Stegostoma tigrinum: one gene and its partner. The protein of the gene in region 1 interacts with the protein of each later gene in a pairwise test. Links are inferred from orthologs where the notes say so. Each region holds a gene or a part of one and is shown in the gene's direction. Other genes may lie near its edges.

Region 1 (7,187 bases):
GTGCGCAAAATCAGTGCTTGTCGATTGAATCTCCATTCCAATGTCATTTTTAGATGGGCTGGGGAAATATTCCATCTTTGAGATGATGTCTTTGTTACTCTTAATTGAAGGATGGACCAAAACTTGCCATCATGCAGCTTGGTAAACTGCACCACTATCAAAAGTAACAAAACGGAAGGTAACAGCCACAAGGATACTCAGTTGCTTTATGTGCAACAGTTGTGAACCTGTCTCTTAGTTATCTGTTCATGCACCACCAGAAGTGTGCCTTATGAAGACACCCCATTTGAATTGTTGTATCATCTTAGATGAAGGCATGCAGATGACAAACATGATCAGCGGGTATTCTGTAACAATCATTCCTTTCTGACTGTGAATAAAAGGGGAGCAGCATTGATAGCCAATCCCATTTGTTTTTAAAAAGTGTGATCAAGATAGATCCTGTGGACACCTAGCAACCTAATCAGATGTTAATGACACTTTGGGTCACCAAATCTTTTTAGAATGTTGACAACTTCACATGGGATGTCAAACCTTCGCATTCAAAAACAAAGCCTCTGAATTTTCTCAAAACACAGTCTTCAGCACTGCTGAAAACAGTAACTAGCCTGTTAGTTATACTGTTGCATTATCGCTTCCACATTCCCTTTTATTTTACCTACTTGAATATTGTTTCTGTATGATGGTCAGTTTGTCTATCTAGCTGGTAGTCCTTGTTATCATTCACATAAGCAACAAGTACTTTGGACCTCAGAGGTAGTAAGAACTGCCGATGCTGGAGTCAGAGATAACACAGTGTAGAGCTGCAGGAGCAATAAAGTATTTCTGGAGAAGGGTCCTGGCCCGAAACATCAACTTTCCTGCTCCTCTGTTGCTGCCTGGCCTGCTGTGCTCCTACAGCTCCTCACTGTTTTATCTCTGACTCCAGCATCGGCAGTTCTTAATATCTCTGAATGAGTTATAAAGTAATTTGGACCTGTTGGCCAAAGCTAAATTACAAGGTTCCTGTGTCCAGATTTCCAATACCAACCTGTCTTGGCCAACTCTAAGTTTCCTTAAACCTGAGGGATATGGCAGCAATCTTTTCCCTTCCAGATTCAATATCTGAAGCTTCGACAGCCCATCAACAACTCTGAGCTGTAGCTGTTTTCTGTAAAATTAAGTAAAAAAGAGCATCTACCTTTTTTTTACAAAAAGACCTCACTCATACCAAATTTCTGACTTTTACAAAACATTTAATTCTTTGGTTATATTCTTTGGTTACATTGTGTAACAGCATATATTGTCAACATTGTGACCTTAGGTTAAATATCTTAGCTCCAACTGCAAAGTAGATTTTCCACTGTAGTCATTTGCACCCTGTAAATGAGGACAATTTTAGTATGGAAGGGCAAAATGTGTGGGTGCAGACTTGGAGGGCCAAAAGGCCTGTTTCTGCGCTGTATTGTTCTTTGTTCTTTGTTCACTCTTGGCTGTCTGGAGGAATGCCAGGACTTTAGAAAGAAGGCCAATGACTTTTTCCACTCTGCCAACATTTTCTTTATAATACCTCAAACTCATTCTATTTGTGATACCATACCCACCCTCCACCAAGGCTCGTGTTCTCCCAATGTCACTCTGCCTGCAATCTCTGCCCTGTTCACCCACTATCACCTCACTTGTTTGGCACTGCATGTACAGACATTCATTTACTCCATTATTGATGTTCAGTAGGAGCAGTGTGTACCATCTGGAAGAATCACTGTGGAAATTTCCTTGGACAGTATCTTACAAAACCACAACTACCAACATTTAGAAGGATAAGGGCATCAAATACTTGGGGAGTAACACCACCTACCCAAGTCATTCTGCGTTTTCACAACATCTAGCTTATTTGGTAAATTAGGAAGCTGAATATTAGTTGAGCGAGTTGAGTTTAACAAGCAATAAATCCCACCCCACCCCACCCCAACCCCCGAAATAACAACTCACCACTACCTACGAAGAAAATTGCCACTTGTCAAAAGTATAAAAATGGGCAAGATGTTCTGGCCATCAAAATCGGCATCACCGGACTTCTTGTCTGATTCTGCCACAAATCTCAACATAGCCCACATCACTCAGACTCCTGCAAGATTTGATCCTTAACGTTAGATTAAATTTCAGCTTGATGGAATACTTATAGTGAGGTTGAATTTATCACCTGTTTACAAAGCATTCAGTTCCCCTGTCATTGCCTGTTACACAGGTCTATCGTTTTGGTCCAGTTTTAAAAGATTAGAGCAACAGGTATGCACATTGAACAAAAATATTCAATTAAGACTATAAGGGAGATTACTGTTATAGTTTTGTGTTACAGATGAACATCTACTGTAAGATGCTCAGACTACTTGATACAATGAGTACTGTTATATCTAGGCAAACCTCTAAAGCAGGAGCCTAACTTGTAACAATTCTTCGTAGGAATTTGATACATGAAAAATTGTCTATTATTGTCTATTTCTAGAAATGGAAAATGGTTTTTTGGTTGTAAAACTGCTTTTGACCTTGCCAAATTTTTTTTCAAGATTTTGTTAAGGATTAAAATTACAGGTAGCAGAGTTACAACTTAAGTATATAAATTGTTGCCATCAAAACTTTGCTGCAATTCTTCTCAAAGGTGTTAGAATTTCTGAGATTTTGAAGCATTATTCAAAATTATTTGAAGTTGTTGTTCAAGTTCTTTCAAATCACTTCATCTACTATAAAAAAATCTACAGAGTCATCATTTTAGAAGGCACTGTGCACAAGCTCCATGCATTGTTGTTTATCTCCTGTACTTTGCCAGCAGGGAAATAATTTGAGGAATTTAAAAAAAATTACAGTGGTGTTGTACCACTGTTTCACACCTACATATCAGACGCTTTGGTACCAATCACAAGACATTGTTTGGACTGTCTTTTCTATTAAGCATTTTTGTAAATTGGTTTTTCTTTTAGGAATGGCAACTGGCAAGCTTCTAACTTTAGCAAATTCTTTATATTTTGTATTTAATTTCTCAAATGCAGAATATGCATTATGCTATTGTTTTGCTTAAAAGGTTGTATGCTGGTGCATATAATTGTCTATATTTGATGATTTACTGTATTATGCTTGATCAATAAAGTTTCTCAATTCTGCTCAATTTTTTGAAGACATCTGAAGTAATTTTAGTCTACTTTGTCTGTTCTTATTAAGATTTAGTGTATTTGATCTAATTAAGATTGATTTGATGCATCTACCTTTTATTCATTTTGAATTGGATAGCCATCAATATCAATCATAATCTAAATATCAATCTAAGTACAGTACTTTCCAAGAAGGCACTTTTCTGTTCTGAACTGCTTCAGTATCTAAACTAGAAAGCTTTAGGGAGGAGATATCTTCATCAACCCATTTCAAGAATCGAGATAATTCGTGTGACTGGTTTAGTTTTGTATGTTTAGCAAACTGAATTACCCTGTTCAGTCTCATAGTCCACAAAACAATGACATTCACATTTTGTTCCCTTTCCCAGTATATATTTTGCGGATTTCGTGGTCATTCTCTAAACAGTATAACAGAAATTTTGATGTCACTTTTCTGGGGTTGGGCGTGTGCTCCAAATAAACTACTTTTAAGTTTTTTTTCCGTATATAATCAAGTCTGCAAATGACATGAAAAATGAGAATACCTCTGAAGAGAAACGATATTGATCCCCTTTGTTATATTTTGTGCTAAGGTGCGCGGGGAAGGAACAGCCTAATGTAGACAAAAGAAGCTCTAAGGTGGTGTCATGCACAAGCAATACGCGAGTCAAAATTCCACAAGTCTCAATGGGTGCGACATGAATATATGTGAATAGTTAAAACCTAGCAGCTACTTTTCATTCCCAAGTCGAGAGACGTGGGATGTTAAATAAAACATGATCACTCAGACATCGGCCAGGCATATGAATACAGATCAGATATAGGTTCTAAATAATTCATTGTAGGGACAAATTTTTGCAGCGACTGCAGGGTATAACATTTGTGACATTTTAGAAATAGTCACAACTTTCAATGTTCAAATATATATATTTAAACTTGGAAAGGTGGTAATCTTTTTGATTAACTTCTGGTACATAAGTATTTACGTTCAGCTGTAGTCAGAATGATTCCCATCAGCCACTTCAATCTTTAAGTTCATCCTCCCACAGCTGACGTCAGGGTAGAAACATTGAACCAAACAAGCCATTTTCACATGCGTACAGGCTTCAGAGTGAGAGGTGGAGAGGAGCTGTGAAAACAGTTGCACAAAGAGACCAAGTTCTTTAAAAAAAAATCTGGGACCTTTTCGCAATCCATCCATCCGCCCATTCACTATGGCAAGCAATCCTTTCGTTCAGCCGTTTGCAAAGGGACAGTGGGGAGAGGACGAGGAGCCAGAGCAGACAGATCGTGGTATTGGTGCCAGTCCGCAGGCGGGGGCGGCTGTTGGTGGGGGGGATGCAGCTGCAGCAGCCGAGAGCTGGCGAGCCGGGGTGGAGCAGCCCCTTGTGCCAGACTCTAGGGGTCAGCCTGTTACCAAGGCAACTGCATCCGCAGGTAAGGTGGGGCGGGTGGACCGACTGCAGATATGTTTGGAAGTCGGATTATGCATAAGATACGATCGTTTACTCAATTCACAAAGATTTTTTAAAAGGTCGATCATGTCGCTTTTGAATACAGCGACCGGTTAAATAGCATTTCATTAATGTTTGAAATGTCAGCTTTTGAAATTATGGACACACCGTTATGGACACACCGAATATAATCTTTATGTATTTTTAATGCTGCAGACGCATTTTTGCCCTGTCTGATAGAAATTGGCACAATTCACTGGATTCTTTGTTAAAAATGTTGGCATTAATCCTGAGGCAGATTGTTAGAACAGGGTGAAGTCAGCTTAATTCCAGTTTGAAACAAGTTTTTAAGTTATGACATCTGACGAATTTTTGTGGTATTAATGGCACCCTTTAAATCAGTTAACTATTGGGATTTTGTTTTCTAGATGCAGATTGTGTTTTAAACTTAACCATGAGTTGAATTAAGCCAGTGGTGTAGTGATATGCCTAGTAATCCAGAACCCCAGGCTAATGTTCTGGGCACATGGTTTTAGCATCTCACCATGGCAGATGATGAAATTTCAATTCAATAAAATTCTGGAATAAAAGGCCCTCTGGTTCACTAGTGTCATTTGCAGATATTATGTTAACAGCTGTCCTCATCTGGTCTGGTCAAAATCTGACTGCATAGCAGTTGTTTGACTCTTGTTGGATGGGCAATCAATATGAAGTCAAATTAGTATAAAGTTCTCAGACTCACAAGAAGATAGTACAGAAGGAGATCATTCAGCCCATCATGCTTTACCAGTTTTATTATCATGTTTTAATTTCTTGCCTTTTCCCCAGATCTTGCACCTCATTGTTACCTGAAAATACATTCAGTGTCCCCTTGAATGCCTCAGTTGAATCTGCCTTCACCATGTTTCCAGTCAATGCATTCCTTAAGAGTGAACAAGTTCCTTTTTCTCTCACATCAACCTCACTCTGTTTGCACATATCTTTATATCTATAAATTTTCCTCTCAATCCTGTTTCTACTACAAGTGGAAACAACTTCACTCTACTTATTCTTCAAGCCCACTCATGAAAACCACAATGGGATCTCCGCTCAACTGCCTTCTCCACAGGGAGAACAGACACAACCTCTTCTATCAATTGTTGTAGCTGAAGCATTTCATTCCTGGAACTATTCTTTGTAAATTGCTTCTGCTGTCTCACAATGCCTTCCATTTTTCCTATAATGTGGCAGCCACAACTGTGTGCATTACACCAGCTGTGGTCTAACAAATGTCTTATACAAGTTCAACATCACCTCCCTGGTCTTGTATTCCATGCCCTATGAATAAAACTGAGAATACTATGCTATATTCTTCTTCACATGTCGTGCCACATTCAAAGATCTGTGCACATTTACATCCAGATCTCTATACCCTGGTACCCTCCTTGTGCCCTCTATATTGTCTTTGTGTTCTTCTGACCAAAATTCAGGACCATGTGTTTTTCTGCATTGAACCTACCTGCCCACTCCAACAACTTGCCAATGTTCGTTTGGAGTTCCACAATATTCTCCTCACAGTTTACAGTTCTTCAAAGTTTAATGCCATCTGCAAACTTTGAAATTATCCTCTGCATACCAAGTACCAGATCATTTTATTTATATATATATATATATAAATGCACTTTATAAAAATTCTGCTGGGTCAAAATACTGGAATTCTCTCCCCAAGGACATTGTGGGTCTACCTACAACACACAAACTGATGCTGCTCAAGAAGGCAGCTCGTCCCCACCTTCTTGGGAGCAACTCAGGACACGCAGTAAATGCTGGCCAGCTAGTGATTTCTATGTCCCAAGAATGATTTTAAAAAAATGTATTTAACATGTACTGGTTATTGGAGGTTGGTTAATTGAAATTAATTGTTGCTTTGAACATGACATTTTGGCTGTGTAGGATTTGTGAGTAAAAATGCAATATAGGCTATTTATAAAATTAAAGAACCAGTTCATTTAGTGGGGAAGTCTTTGTTAGTTATTTAGAAAAAGAAATGAATATTTGACATGTCAGATGAATCCCACATGGTGATCCTGAATGCAGGCATCTAAAATATTCATTGTTCTCAAAATGTCACTTTCTGTTTTTGATTGTATGGCTCAGTAGCAAAACAAACTGAAGTTGGCACCAAATGTGTATACTTCAGCATTTTAAAGTAAGTGCATTTTATAAATTAGTAAGTTATGATCAATGTAATTTCAGAAGAAAGTGATCACGTCACATTGGCTTTAATTTGGGGAACTGAAATTCGAGGTTAATTTTCCAAATCTAGCTTGGAAAGCCTGAAAATATAGTGTCTCTTGACTTCTAAAATAAATGTGGCATAGTCACAAGCACAAGCTATTTTATTAAATTTAAAATTTAGAGAAACACCTGCAAACAATTGAAAATAAAGAGTAGAAAGCAGTCAATTGCTCATTAGAGTATGTGGTAATCCCCAAGGATTATTGCAACCCAATTTTTGAAATCCATGTTAAGTTTTAGATTCGGAATATTGGAGCAAATTACTCAAACTTGTAGATTATACCAACCTAGGAGTACCAGCAGAGGAGGCAATTCAAAAAATGCAACAATG
Region 2 (7,875 bases), on another chromosome or scaffold:
TTAATGGATTCCATTCAAGATACTTTTCTAAATCCACATACTGAAGGACCAATTAAGGAACAGATTATTTAAAATGCAGAACCATGAAATGACATAGGATCAATTACTTACTGTGTAGTAAAATGACTTATGGGGATGAATGATCATAAAATGGCTTAATTTTATGTTGGTTTTGCAAGTGACTTAACTAAGTACAAAACCAGGGTCTTAAATCTGAACAAACAAATTATGCATCTATGGGAAGTGAGTTGGCTCAGGGGGAAATTAAATTAAAAGCTGATGGCAAATAATCAACATTAACAAATGTCACAAAACTATATTCTGTGTTGCACAGCATCATGTTTGAGAAGAAATAACAACATGTAATCGATCCATTATCAATAATCAGGATTCATGAGTAACTTGGTGTGGGTACATCTGTTTTCTTCAAAAGTTTTACTGGCAGCTTGAGAAAAGCAACAATAACTGATGCAGCAAACATCCTGTGAATTATCCTCATGACATTTATTCTTTAAAGAATGCAATGGAATATATACTTCATGCGTGGCCCAATCAAAGTAAATATTGGCTGATGTCTTTTGCTTGATACCCACTCCTTTAAGATCATCTATAATGCTAGCAGCTTTGATTTTAACCAAATCCCTTTATATTTTCTTCTTTCACTTGGTGTAGTTCTTTCTCTCAGTGTAGTTCTTTCTGGTCCTTGATACTTTCCTGACCATATTCTATATTAATGAAAATGTAATTACAGAAGTATAGGGAGCAATATGTCTTCATTAGTTGTAACATTTCAATAACTTTTATTACTCTTTGACTGTGTACTAATTATGACTTTAATGCAGTTTATGTGCAGAATTTTGAGGTGAAAAGATAAATCTGTATGGGAAAGTACAAACTGATCATACATGGTTAATAAAATGGAAATAGATGCTACTAAATGAATAAAATTACTGTTTGGTATTTGATTTTATTCTTATAGTATTAGTACCTTTCCTCAAGCATAAGGACACTAATCCATCTCCACATACAGTATGATACATGAGTGTGTACTGGAGAAAAATAGAAGTTCGGACACTGAAGGAGACCATTCAGCCCAATATGTGCCAGTCAAGTTCCCAGTCTTAATCACACTTTCTAGCTGGTGGCCCACAGTTCTGTAGTTATGACACATCAAATGCATACTTTTAATGTACAGTTATGGTGTTTGCCTCCACCAACCTAAAGGGAAATATGCTATAAACCTTCATCACCCTCTGGTCAAAGAAGAGTCTCAACTCCCTTCTAGTTCTTTTACCAATTAAACCTATGTCCCAGAAATAGCTGCACAGAGGTCAGTATCCTGGCACCAAATCACTCTTTATTTACATGTGCATAGTTCATGGACTCTGACCAGCCAGCTCAGACTCAGTCCTAGAACAATGAGATGCTCTGAATCTGCTGTTTATATCTGTCAACCAGGCCTCCCTGATTGGCCCAGGTTAACAGCCCCAATTAAGGATCTCATAGACAAAGAGAACCACGTGGCCCTCGTTCCAGTCGCTACAGTGCCCTTGTTTATTGATCTATCTGTAAAGGTCAATAGTTCCTTACAATTATGTATGCCTCTGTTGAATCTTTTGTGAGTGTCCACTCTTCCAAAGGAAACAACTTCAATCCATCATTATTTTCTTCATAACTAAAATTCTGTATTATCATCATTAACATCATTATTAATCCTGTCTAAAGAGGGGTCGCTGGATTTGAAAGGTTAATTTTGTTTTCTTTCCATAAACGCACCAGACCTGCAGAGCTCCACCAGCAATTTCTGATTTTATTTTCAGATTTCCAGCTATTGCAACTCTTGGGTTTCTGTTTTTGTTGTTAATCTATGTCTATATCCTTTCTAGTGCAATCATACCCATGCTGTGATGTGAATTCCATATGCAGCACTCTAATGCAGATAAACTAATATTTTATACAGTTATAGCAGCAATGCTCGCTGTGAAATGTTTCGATTTACTGAGATGTATGCAATTGGTTTCTCTTCTGTCTTGTATTGTGAGCAGTTCTGCTGCAGCTGCATTAGCTCTAGGAGTTTACCAAAAGGTTAAACTTCAGCCGAAGCATCAGATGTGCCTTCTGCTATCACTCATGTATGGGATTTGGGCATTTCTCAAGAAATTTCAGATGCAACTGCTATCCAACAAGGCTTTTTGGTGTTGTGATGTTACCAGTTGCTATGGACGCAAATTTATCATGAGCCCATGAGAAATAGTCTTTGCGTGCCAATGTCAGTGCTGGAAATGGCTGTGCACCTCTTGGAATAAAAATTAATTTGCGTGCCCAGAAGCTAGTAATTTTGATAAGAAGATCTACTTAGCTTATAGCTGAACTAAATTCCTTCCTATTTTAAATCCTGATTCCATTGCTCAAAGGCAGATTTCTCTACAAGTTGATCAAGAAACTGATTACTTTGCTAAACGATAGATCCCTTAATCCTGAGGAGCTGATCCCATAATACTGAGCAACAGAACCCAATGCTAACTTATATCCAGATCTTATTTGAACAGCTGATTACCCTTCGCAACTAAACCTTAAATGCTAAGATGATTCCTTTGATCAACTAATTGTTTTTGCTAAGATAGACCTATTTTACAGGGAAACGGTTCCTTTTTAATCATAATACTCAGGCAAGTCTGGCAGCATTTGTGACGAAGTAGGTAAAGACTTCACAGCTGATGCGAGAAATGTTTTTTTTCCCAGTTTTTTAAATTTCAGAATTCCAGCATCTGTAGTATTTTGCTTTTATTTTCCTTTTCCTAAACAAACCTAATGTCTCCATCCTTTTGTTAAGAAAATTATAATTCATAGAATCACTGACTGTTTTAACTGGTAAGGAGTGATGATTGAGTGTTCCCTCAGGTAACCTCCCCCCCTCCCTGCCTCATCTGTTTCATAAATTGAACCAAAAGCAAAATGATGCAGATGCTGGAAATCTGAAATAACCAAAAAAAATGCTGGAGGCCAGGTGAAAGCTGTGGGGGAAGAAACAGAATTGTTCAAGTCAATCATCTTCTGTAAAGAAAAAATGAATGTAGGTTTTAAAAAAATGGAAGTTGTAAGAAAACAAAAGTGAGAGTTTATGATGACTTCAGTAAGGGTGTTTAAAATGAATAAAATAAGGTCTCTAGAAAATGAATAGCAGAATAATTAACAGCTGCTAATTGAAACCAAATAAAAGTAAAATGCTAGAAAAACTCAGTACGTCTGACAGTGCCTATGGAGAAAGAAACAGAATTAATATCATTTCAGAGATAGTAGGATGCCAATGCTGGACAATCTGAGAAAACAAGGTGTAGAGCTCGATAAACACAGCAGGCCAAGCATCATCATTGGAGCAGGAAAGCTGGCGTTTCAGGTCTGGCCCCTTCTTCAGAGGGTCCAGATCCAAAACATCAGCTTTCCTGCTCCTCTGATGCTGCTTGGCCTGCTGTGTTCATCCAGCTATACACCTTGTTATCTCAGAAATAATATTGTATTTGTTTCAAAACTGAGTGTGACATGACTCATCTCTACCCACAGATGCTTCCAGACCTTCTGGGTTTCGTTAGCATTTATTTTCCAAATTTCAGCATTCATAGTACTTTGTTTTTACCAAAGATTAAAAAAAATTTAGAGACTTGTGTCACAGTGATAGTATCCACACCTCCAAATCATGAAGCTTAGGTTCAAGTCTCACCAGCTCCCAAAGCGCATAACAACATTTGAGCAGGTTGATTAGAAAATACCTAAAGAATACTTAAACCAAAACCTGCAAAGAAAAGTTAAACTAAATGCAGTAGTTCTAACATTTTATGATGTTATCATTAGGGACATTACATTCCTTCAGTGTATGAGTGACTATCAAAGGAGTAAGGTCTGGTTCTGCGAGAGATAATGGGAACTGCAGATGCTGGAGAATCTGAGATAACAAAGTGTGGAGCTGGATGAATGCAGCAGGCCAAGCAGCATCTTAGGAGCACATGTTATAGCATCTTTAAGGTGCCTTAAAGGACAGGGTTTTTAAGAGTCCCTCCTCAGCTGATGGAAATCATCAGAGTCTCCCGAAATGAGATTACCTGAAAAGCATGGGCTTTGTGAGGGTTCCTTGGAGCTGTCTGCCAGGGTCACTTAGACGCCAGGTTTTGTACAAATCCCTCAGAAGGTGAATTCTGAGGATTTCCTAGGTTGGGCAGACAGTGAGTTCTGAGAGGGACATCCTCAGTGGTGATGTGTGAAGCATTCCCCAATAGGACAGGGTCTCTGAGGGAAACACTCAGGAGGTATGGTTTGTAAGGGAATCCTCCATGGGTGGAGTCTTTGTGGGACTCCCACCAGGGCAGGGTCTGTAAGGGACTCCATCAGCAGGTAGAGTGAGGTACACCTTCCAGGACAAGGTCTATAAGGGATTCCTGCAGAAGGTGGAGTCTTTGGGATTAGGTCTGTGATGGGTGCTCTCAGGGGTCAGGGTCTGAGGGACCCCGTTGAAGGGAGGCAGAGTCTGAAAGGTACTCCTTCGGAATGACAGGTCTGTGAGGGATCCCTTAGGCGAAGGATGAGTCTGTTACAGCCTCCTTCATAGAGTTGAGTCTGAGGCACACGCTCCAGGGCAGACTTGTGAAGACTTGTTTAGAGTTGGAATCTGTGAGAGACTCCCTCAGGAGCTGGCGTCTGTGAGGGATTCTCTAAGGTGGGAGCAGAATCTGTGAACAAGTCCCTAAAGAACTGGCGTCTAAGAGGGCTCCTTCCGGTTGTGGTTCCGGCTGGGGTGTTGTGAGCGGAGGGGTCTCAGGCAGAGGGGGCGGAGTCTGGACTTCGGCCTTTTGGGGGAGGGGCTGACCGGACCGAAGGGGCGGATCCTGCGACTGAGTCAGAGCCGCGCTGGGACTGAGGGAGACGGAGTGTGACCGGGGAGAGGAACTGTTCAGAGTGAGTCACCGTCCCGGGAGAGAGACGTGGGCCGGCGGGGTACAGTGGAATGGCGGTGCTGGAACTTGCTCTGCAGGGTCTCTCCGTTTTCGGCCTGATCCTGTTTGTCATCCTGTGGTTGATGCACTTCATGTCCATCGTCTACGGGTAAGAAGAGGGGGAATTGGGGTGGGAGTTTCTGTTTGTGGGCAGGACGGGGTCATTTATCCCTTATCTCTCACCATTTGCCAGTAGGTTAGGGTTAGTTTAACTGTTGAGGACTCAGCGCGAGTCCGGCCTGACGGCCTCGACCGCTCAGCTTTTATAATGAAACATTTTAACTTTATTTTCGATGTCTGACTGAATCGGGGCCTACTGCGCATCAGGGTTAGCTTGGGCCTTGTATTTATTTTAATATGTCCCCCAATCCTACACCCCCTTGGGTGGGAGGGGATTCTGTTTAATTATATCCTATTTGTTTCTCTTAATGCCGATCTCTCCCTTTGATGTGAAACGAGTTCTCGATTGTCCTTGGTTTTTTATCGTAACAAAAAAGCCCATTCCCTTCTGTTCTATTTTGCTTAAAAAATCTTTTGAAATCTTATCACTTAATTATTTAAACACATCGATAATTGAAATAGACAAGTGTATGTTTCACGTTCTCTTCTCAATTACACTTCATTTTTTTTCGAAATAGGGTAGACGAAATGTATCATCTAGGTTTCTGAAAATCAAACAGAATATTTAAAAAGTGTAATTAATTTCAGCATGGGTTAAAATAAAACCTCAATAATAAAAGCATAGTCCTGGTGATGGTGTGCGAAACCCTTTTAGCCGAAAAGAGATACAGCCCTGTGTCATAAACTGTATTAAAATACGTCTTTGCGTGTAGTAATATTATGATGGCAATGATGCAAACTCTTCTTCCCTCCCCCACCCCAGCCCCATCATAAAGCAGTTTTTACCTTTGTTTCTTTCCATCATCGTCAGCGCCTTTTAGGAAACAGTATTGATCTTTTTCTTGTTTGTAAGTGATTTGACGAAAGATAAAATAGCATTGTTTTAACAAGTATTGATGGAGGGTGGTTTGTTCATGTGGCCCAAAAGGATACAATTCAGGAAATCCTTTCCTCTGGCAATGGAAATAGCATGTCTAGCACTGTGCTTAACAATGTGAAATGTATTTTTGTAAACTCTCCCAGTCTGGTGATGAGAAATGGGTCTTTACTTGGGGAGAAACAATTAGTCTGTAAACATGCCCTTTTTTAAAAAAACATGATGTGCTTTAAATCACCACTAAAGTCCTATTCTGTAGGAAAATGAGAAGGCAAAATAATTTTGGGCAGCAATTTTCTTGGTGTGCAGTATAGGTGCTCAGGACATTTGTGTTCAAATCCCAATCTGTGATGAAGGACCTAATCTTTATCAGAATGGCATTATGGAACTGAGTGCATCTTTAACGGAAGGAAAATTGCGTAGCGTTTCGGCTTCTGATTTTGTTATCAAGTAAACTGTATTGAAAGTAAGTTTTTGGATATTGATCTGCAGCGATGCACCACAGTTGAATAATTTGACTTTCGACATGCAGGTGTGGTAAGTGAGGGCTCATGGGGTTGGCACTGTAAAAAGTTGCTGCCCATTAGCAGGGAAGGAATTTCACTGGAAAGGGGTATAATTGGAAACTCAAGAGGACATGCCCTTTTACCTCATTGCTGATTTCATGCCTACTTCCCAGTGTCCTATAATGCATTCAGCCTCTTGATATTCTGGAATTTGCCCCATTTACATTAGTGATGTTTAGGACAACCAAGTACAAAACAAAATATATGGCAGTTGAAATATCACAACAATCCCTTTAATCCTTCTGGCCATATTACTCCCCTATGGTTCCCTTAGGGATAGAAAAACTACAGTTACTATTTATTCTTCACTGGTAGGGCTATCTCAAACCAGCTGTTAATCTAGTAGCCTGCCCGAAGCTTGTGCATGGCCTCTGCTTCTTGCAGAGCTGTCACTGAAGGTTGAGCTTCACTAATAGAAGAACACTGATAGAGTTGCAGTCGTGGCTTTTGTGTGTCATAGTCTGTGTGTAAATGTGTTAATATTGTGAAAGTACTGCTAATGTTATATCTTGTTCATGGAATTTGTTTATTGAAGTGCACTGCACCACCTGCCAACTGATGCTGTAAATTTTGGTCAAATGAGATTTGTTAACTCTTTTTTTCAGTTATCAAATAGTCTTTTGCAACAACTCTCGTTTTTCAAAATATACTTTGCTCACAAAATAGCTAAAAGCACAATTCAATTTAGGCATTACAGAAGTGCAATGTTATTCCAGTTTTCTCCATTGAGTATGTTGCACTGTTGGGCATCTCAGTACGGTTGCAATACATGTTACACATTCATTCAGTGCCAAACATGAAGCCTGAAGGATTCTCTATGTATTATTTGCCCCTCGATGCCTAATGGCTGAAAGTTTTTGATCTGTGGCCTTTTGTCACTGTGGCTTTGCGGTGGCGCATCTATCTATTCCTTTTATATGTTCCTTTGTAAACTTTCAGTTGCAACTTTGCTAGTCACGTGAATTCAGCTGATCCTTAACCATTTGTTAGTCCACATAACTGTGGCTGTAGTGCACTAAATCACTAATTTGAAGGGAATTTTCTACAAGGATTTAACCTTTTTAAACTAAAGTTGAATGAATAGTTTTATAAAGTTGCATTGAGACATTTTGCAGCCTGTGTGACCAAATACATAGTTTAATGTGCCATATCATGGTAACAAATTTCCCCTTCCCCATTCTCTTTCAAATGTCCCTCAAAACTACATTTTTGGGATTTTAAAAAATGGACGTTGCACTTACTGAAGTTTCCTGTTTTAGAAACTGTGACCTGATTTACAGAAAGTTTCCAAGGTTTCTGTGGCTAAAAGTCACTCTCCTCAAGTCCT

Evidence for each region.
Region 2: the proteins of rtn1a (region 1) and ugcg interact in a two-hybrid assay, tested with the Homo sapiens proteins (2 studies listed by BioGRID and IntAct). The link is inferred for Stegostoma tigrinum from reciprocal best matches to the Homo sapiens genes RTN1 and UGCG.

The regions. Positions count from the first base shown.
Region 1 is NC_081363.1:31,103,724-31,110,910, forward strand, and holds the start of rtn1a (reticulon-1a), read left to right. Parts: upstream 1-4,179; 5' UTR 4,180-4,339; coding exon 4,340-4,562; intron 4,563-7,187. UniProt on the Homo sapiens protein: Inhibits amyloid precursor protein processing, probably by blocking BACE1 activity.
Region 2 is NC_081356.1:31,642,845-31,650,719, forward strand, and holds the start of ugcg (ceramide glucosyltransferase), read left to right. Parts: upstream 1-4,869; 5' UTR 4,870-4,996; coding exon 4,997-5,094; intron 5,095-7,875. UniProt on the Homo sapiens protein: Participates in the initial step of the glucosylceramide-based glycosphingolipid/GSL synthetic pathway at the cytosolic surface of the Golgi.